2 linked regions of the Xenopus tropicalis genome follow. The protein of the gene in region 2 purifies or fractionates together with the protein of the main gene of each other region. This does not show direct contact. Links are inferred from orthologs where the notes say so. Each region holds a gene or a part of one and is shown on either strand. Other genes may lie near its edges.

Region 1 (3,661 bases), on a different chromosome or scaffold from region 2:
CTCCTGGCTGTAACAAGGAGCTGTGCTCTGATAAACTTCAGGCACACTTTACTGCTGCGCTGCAAGTTGGAGTGATATCCCCCTCCCCCCCAGCAGCCGATCAGCAGAACAATGGGAAGGGAGCAAGATAGCAGCTCCCAGTAGGTATCAGAATAGCACTCAATAGTAAGAAATCCAAGTCCGGCTTGGGACTCCTCCAGTTACATGGGAGTAGGAGAAACAATAGGTTAGCTGAAAGCAGTTCTAATGTGTAGCGCTGGCTGAAAGCTCAGACTCGGGCACAAGGCACTGAGATGGCGCCTACACACCAATATTACAGCTACAAATACATTTGTTGGTTGAAGAATAAAAGGATAAATGACAGAGGGAATTATTTGCTGTGTAACAGTGTTAGAGATACAAAGTGTCCCATAAATATCATGCCAGTATCCCAAGCCTTATAGAAATCCAAGGCTGTAACTACTGCACATAAGGTTTATAGTTGGGGAAACAGCCCTGTAACACAGCATTGTATCCGGTGCAGTCGGCAGCACATAAACAGGAGACAAACTGTTTCACTGTAAAAAGATCTTTATTTTGCGCAACATTTCTCAACTTTACAACAACAAAAAATAAAATAAAGTTCCGTATTGAGGCTCTCGATAGAGAGATGTGTAGGATGGGGGTGGGGTCTCAGCATTCAAGACATCCTGGGGGCGGGGGCACGAGATTCCAGTCAGAGAGATGGGGGCTACCACTCAGCAGATTTGGGGGTGCTACAGATTGAGGTAGCATTGGGCAGAAGTACCTCACCCCCCCAGACTGGCCTGGCGTTTCTATTTGCAAACACCAGCACATTCAATCGCCCCCCCCATGCAAGTGAATGGGAGAAGGCAGCAGGGGGGTCTCTAAAGCTTCCCAGTAAGTACCCCCCGTGCCTCAGGGGGGGCACAGAGGGACACGCCCATTACAATAGTGGCAGAGGGTAGGATTAGAGGGGGGGCCTGTAAGGTGCATTGAGAGAGTCAAACAGACCCCCCCCCCCAGCAGCTGGCTAACAGCGGGCCACTAACTCAGGGCTACCTCAAGCCAAGCTAGCTGCCATACTGCTACAATAACTTACATAACTAACTGCTCAGACTGGAACACAACAAGGGGGGTGCAGAGGAAAGGGTTAAAGTCAGCAGCCATCAGTCTTGAAGCTCCCCCAAATATATTCTATAAGGAGGGAAGTCCATCCCCAGTATCATGTGATATTTAGAGTCCAAGGGAGAAGTCGCCCCCCTACCGAGTTACAGACAGTGCACATACGCGGGTGGGAGGGGGCAGGACGAGCGGGCAGCAAACCGATTAGTCGACTTCCTCCATGCGAGAAGCATCTTCGTCGCCCTCTAGGGGTGGGATCTCGTCTGCCACCGAGGGGGAAGTTTCCTCCACTGTTGCATCGTCATCATCAATACCTGAGAGAGACAAGGGGAAGTTAACCCTAAATGTGGTGGTTTCAGGACCCTACATACAAATCCCCTTTATGGCAGAAGGATTCTGGTAGCCATTCCCATAATGCTCAGCGACACCTACCCAGACCCAGCTTGATCATCCTGTAGATCCTGTTTGAGTGCGTCTGGGGGTCGTCCAGGGAGAAGCCGGATGACAGCAGCGCGGTCTCGAAGAGCAGCACCACCAGGTCCTTCACTGCTTTGTCGTTCTTGTCGGTTTCCGCTTTCTGCCTCAGGGTCTCCACGATGGGGTGCTCGGGGTTGATCTCCAAGTGCTTCTTAGCCATCATGTAGCCCATGGTGGAATTGTCCCGCAGAGCTTGCGCTTTCATGATGCGCTCCATGTTGGCGGTCCAGCCGTAGGTGCTGGTGACGATACAGCAGGGAGAGGAGACGAGTCTGTTGGACACGGTGACCTGCGGGGTAACAAGGGGCAGGTTGGGGGTTAGCAGGACAAGGCTATACTAGGGGAGGGGCAACATTACTTCCTTCTGCCCCATCCTCACCTTCTCTACTTTCTTGTCCAGAATTTCCTTCATCAGTTTGCACAAACTCTCAAATTTGGTCTTGTTCTCTTCCATCATCTTCTTCTCTTCCTCGTCCTCTGGCAGCTCCAGGCCCTCCTTGGTCACAGACACCAGCGTCTTCCCGTCGAACTCCTTCAGCTGCTGCACGCAGTACTCGTCGATGGGCTCAGTCATGTAGACCACCTCGAAGCCACGCTTCCTCACCCGCTCCACGAAGGCGGAGTTGGCCACCTGGTCCTTGCTCTCACCTGCGAGACAGAACAGAGGGGTCACGTGTCAGACTCTTCCTCTAAGCGAGCTGCGGAGAAGTGACCCCAGGGGAAGAGGAATACCCCTCTCTCCCAGGGGAGCCCATAATGGGATATCTTGCTGCAAGGGCCACTTACCAGTTATGTAGTAGATGCTTTTCTGGTTCTCCTTCATACGGGACACATACTCTGTTAGGGAGGCCATCTCGTCGCCTGTCTGGGAAGTGTGGTACCTGAGGAGCTCAGACAGCTTCTTGCGGTTGGTAGAATCCTCGTGGATGCCGAGCTGCAAGGAGAGGTAGGTCAGCAAGAGCCACTGGGACGAACAAGAGCTCCGCCCACTACAGCCCAGGGCACCCTCCTGCACTGCTCACCTTCAGGTTCTTGGAGAAAGCCTCGTAAAACTTCTTGTAGTTCTCCTTGTCCTCGGCCAGCTCGGTGAAGAGCTCCAGGCACTTCTTGACAATGTTCTTGCGGATCACCTTCAGGATCTTGCTCTGCTGCAGCATCTCACGGGAAATGTTCAAGGGCAGATCCTCAGAATCCACCACCCCGCGAATGAAGTCTGGAAGAGAGAAAAGAGTTAGAGGCGGCACAGGGAGAGACTGCCCAAAAGTCCTACATTCAGGATCCATCTGTGGGGCCCTGTGTGCCTACGTGTGTGTGTGCGCAGCTTAGTAGCAGCTACCAAATCCCCTGCCATAGACAATACTGAGAATTCCTTCTGCTAGACACACGTAGAGACAATTATCAGCAAATGATCAACATTGTCTGTTTCTGTAGCTGCTACTAGTAGCTCCGTGTGTCTTCCCCTTATAGATACGCGAGTGCACCAAGAGGCCTGTGCGTAAGAGACAAGGATTCTTGGGCTGAAATACTACAATAGGCAATTAATTGCCCCTGCCCCCCCACACACTTACCTGCCTGCCTGTGTGCCTATGGGTGTGCGTGGGGCCCTGCCTGCCTGTGTCACCACATCAAGCAAAAGATCTACATGCTAGACTGTTAATGAAGCATCTAATGCCAGACTATTGGAAGGCTTTACCCAGCATCCCATCCTATGGGGGGGGGGGGAAGGAGGGGGCCCACTAAGCTTCGGGCCAGTACTTACTCAGATACTCTGGGATCAGCTCGTCGCAGCTATCCATGATGAAGACGCGGCGCACGTACAGCTTGATGTTGTTCTTCTTCTTCTTGTTCTCAAACAGATCAAAGGGGGCGCGGCGGGGAATGAAGAGCAGAGCGCGGAACTCCAGTTGCCCCTCCACAGAGAAGTGCTGGGGGGAAGCAGAACAGGGGGTGTTAGCGCTCAGGAGAGAGTGTGGAACCCAGAGCTGAACAAGCGGTGCATTATGGGGTTTTTTTTTCTTCTTACCTTCACAGCCAAGTGATCCTCCCAGTCATTGGTCAG
Region 2 (3,822 bases):
TCAACTGTTAATATTTAATGCACAACTGAAAGTCATATTTGTAATAACATCTGAAATCTATTTTCAGCCTCAAGCTATTTACTGTAAGGATGTCTTGGATATAGAGCAGTTCTCTACAGTAAAGGGCGTTGATCTGGAGCAGACAGACAATGACTTCTACCGAAAATTTGCCACAGGCAATATCTGCATTCCCTGGCAGAATGAGGTGTGTAAGAGACATGCATGGGAGGATGGAATCATTGCTCAGTCAGTGTACAGTGAATCTATATCTATATATGCCTTGTTTAGATGGTGGATACAGACTGTTTTTGGGAGCTAAGCGCACTGCCCACAGATGGAAGCATACCACCTGACCTGGATTGGAGGGGGCTACCATCCCCACAACCCAAAAAGGGACTACTTCAGCGTTTCTTTAGCAGACAGGTAATAATAAAGGGCTTTCGTCTAAAAGAATTCCAGTTAAGGCTGATTATTATTTACATGTATTTATAAAGAACTAACATATCCTATAGAGATGTGCAATAAATAGAGTATAGTATACAGGGAACAAGTGGGCCCTTTTTCAAAAGATCTTACAATCAAAAAGATCTGATTATTTGGCCTTAAGTCCAATGATCAGATCAAACTGTTGACCTGTAAAGACTTGTTGGAATTTTCTGACTTGTGCCAAATGACCTATTTTGGCTCCCAGGACCACCCATCACTGTTCTTTGTACATCAATAGTGCACTTTTTTATCTATAGTTTTAGGAGGGATGCAGATGGGGCAGGTCCTCCACTGTTTTCTGCTGGGCCCTGTGTGCCACTTCTCTAATGTCACATAAAGTAGGAGAACACTTTTAAAGACTGTATAAGTAATAAATGGCATTATAAAAAGGGGTAGTTATGAAAGGAATGTATACCATTAAAGCCAATGTATCTTGGTTTAAGTAAAACTAATAACTAAGCCGCTCATATATTTTAATCTCTCTTGAATTTTAGATTCATTATTTGCTGTTTTCTATGGTAAAACAATGATCATATAGCTTCTCAGCAAGAAAAAAAGACAGCTTATCCTGAACATGCTTTGTAAAGTACTATTGCACAATTTAATTGCACTCTTTGTAGGGGTTATTAACCACTGCTACTGGTGCAAGTACAAAATTACTATAGAGATACATGGAGCACTTATGCCAATGGCAAAGGTTAGTTCAGACTAAGCTTTGCACCTTGAGTGTGATTAATAAATTAGGTGCAAGTTAAAGAGTACGTTGCTGCAAAGGGAACCTGTAATTACATCTCTTCCCAGCACCTTGTAGCCTCTGGCTTTGCACAGGGCTTCCCTTGCTACCCCTCTGTATGCAGCACTGCCCAATACATTGAGGCACCAGTGAGAAGGGGGCAAAAACAAAGTAATTCATATACATTTTTCTGGTGTTTTAATGTAGCTATGAATGTCAACCTCAAGAAGGGAAATCCTGGGAAAATAGTTTAATGTCTAGCCTAGTGTTTTGCTACATTAGTTTTGTGCAACCCCAAATTTCCAGTAAAACTGGTACTCTAGGTTTGCAGAGATCTATTTTCTGTAGTCCCATTTTAATACCGCCAAACATCTCATGTCATCTACCAAAGCTGCCCTTACACAGCAATAAGTGCATCTGTTCTAATGAGGGCTGCTCATTTCCCCGCATCCTGTCAGTATCCTCACTGCCCAGCCCAATATCCCACTGGTACCTTACATCCTCCCAGCAGTGCAGTGCTTTGCCTCAGTCTTTGCAAATTTGCCATCTTAACAGCTAATCTTTGTGTATGCTCAGCTGCCTCCAGGGTGGAGCATCATTGTGAGAGGAACCCTTAAGTTCTGGGGATTTTAACTGCAGAGTTGCACATCTCAGATGTGTCAGGTAAAATGTTTTTCTGTTCTTTCCCTGCTTTTCTGCCCATGCATAATATCAGATTTTGGTTTGTTACACAAAAAGCCTTTTCAGTGTATGTAGAATCTTTCCATTGGTCATTTAAAAAGAACAGTATGAACTGGAAAGACTATAAGAAGGGCATGGGAGCAAAGCCAAATTCAGTTTGTTCAATAGAAATACCTCATTAAAATGTACAGGTATATTGTATGTCAGTGGGACCTTTTTAATCAATTTGGCTGGGAATAGAGGAAAAAAAAATTGTTTTTTTAAGGACTCTTACACACAGAGGCGTTTGCATTTGCCTTAATTGTGTGGTGGATTTTTGTGCTTCTCATCAGATGGCAATGCAGAAGTTGTTTGATTTTAGTCTGTCCAATGCATTCAGTGTTTATGCTTGCTCTCTTGGGTACAGGCCCATATTGGAGGTTTGGATCAGTTAACACCTGCATTGAGGTGGATTGCCCAAAAATCTTACACACTTCAAACACAGGTCCTTAATGCTTTTTATTGATCTGCTGTGTTCAAAGTGGATGGACAGACAGGGCATTCTTGCTATGGACAGGGATTCTTCATATATGTTGAGCTTGGGTTGGTGCAAGACTGTAATAGACAGGAATACCACTTTTAACAATGATTCACAAACCCCCTGACACCCCAGTAAACCATTTGAAAACAAATGAGTCTGTGCAGGTGATATGAAGCAAGATTGATGCTAAGAGGCTGTGACTGGGCTTCTTTCGTTGATGCCTGGAGCCTTTACTGCAATGCTGTTATCAAATCAGTGGAGAGTTTCCTCTGCTGCTTTTAGTGCGTGTTCTACTGAGTGGTAGAACATAGAACCTATTAATTTTTAACACTTTGGCATTGCTTTAAAAAAAATGGATAAAAGAAAATCTAAATATTATATGGGAGAAATTGTGGTTTCTAGGGGGACCTAGAAGTAGTCTGAAGGCCAGTCAGGGGGAGATTGAAATGTGAATGCTTATTTGATATGGCCTGCATTCACATGTCTGTAAATCTTTTGAACGAATTGCCAGCAAAGGTAGGCTTTAACCTTGGAAGTCTGGAAACCTAATTGAATGGAGCATAAATTTTATATAAAGGGTTTGGTTTGAATTTATTGTGATATACTTGCCTGTGGCTAGGCAGGTGTTACTAAGCAGAAATACAGTACAGTTTGTCTGCATCTTTGTAAAAATGTGGTTGACCTTTATCTAAATAGAGCATTTCCTTCAGTGTTACACACAGACAAGCACTGTCAGTGCCTAACGAGTATTGCTTCTCCTGCACTATGATAGGCTCGGGAAGATAAGTAAATAAAAAGAACAAGGAAGAAACAACCTTCCAGTCTTTCTAAATGTCACAGTATATTGGAAAATATTACAACTGTGCAAATAAAGTCTTGGGTACCACATGGCAACAGAACACACTCGGGCATTGCATGGGGAAATGGCGCCCTCTACCACAACCTGACCAAAACCAAATTTCTTTCATCCAGAGGAAACACATTTGTGTTTTGTGTCAATTTCTATCACATCATGCTATAATGGTTTTCCTAAGAACACAATTATGTACTGATGACTAGAACCTTAATAAGAAAGCCGCCACCTGACGCGCGTCCTACACAAACAGTATCAGACACTGCGCCACTCTCTGCTGCAGCAGACTTTGATTCTCCCACATGGAATAGAGCAAATGTTACTTTTAACCACAGGAAAGTATTTTTTTTCTCCTGGATCGTTATAATAAAGTGCAGCTCCGGCCTTCCTTCGGTTCTGAGCAGAATGAGCGAGAGACTTATGTGAGGGCATAGAGTGCTGACACCAGCACGTCCCCTTTAGTGACCTTTCCTGTGAATAGACCTCTCACGGCTCTCTCATGGTTTCTAATGTTCCCAGCCAGTGACAGCTCTAATTGTTGTAGATTAT

What was found.
Region 1: the proteins of grk6 (region 2) and hsp90ab1 purify together in Homo sapiens (affinity purification with mass spectrometry; 3 studies listed by BioGRID and IntAct, with this or other methods). This does not show direct contact. The link is inferred for Xenopus tropicalis from reciprocal best matches to the Homo sapiens genes GRK6 and HSP90AB1.

What each region holds. Positions count from the first base shown.
Region 1 is NC_030681.2:2,231,564-2,235,224, forward strand, and holds the end of hsp90ab1 (heat shock protein HSP 90-beta), read right to left. Parts: coding exon 3,626-3,661; intron 3,528-3,625; coding exon 3,362-3,527; intron 2,816-3,361; coding exon 2,625-2,815; intron 2,537-2,624; coding exon 2,389-2,536; intron 2,251-2,388; coding exon 1,982-2,250; intron 1,892-1,981; coding exon 1,558-1,891; intron 1,440-1,557; coding exon 1,330-1,439; 3' UTR 553-1,329; downstream 1-552. UniProt on the Homo sapiens protein: Molecular chaperone that promotes the maturation, structural maintenance and proper regulation of specific target proteins involved for instance in cell cycle control and signal transduction. Undergoes a functional cycle linked to its ATPase activity.
Region 2 is NC_030679.2:45,795,500-45,799,321, forward strand, and holds part of grk6 (G protein-coupled receptor kinase 6), read left to right. Parts: intron 1-67; coding exon 68-205; intron 206-288; coding exon 289-423; intron 424-3,822.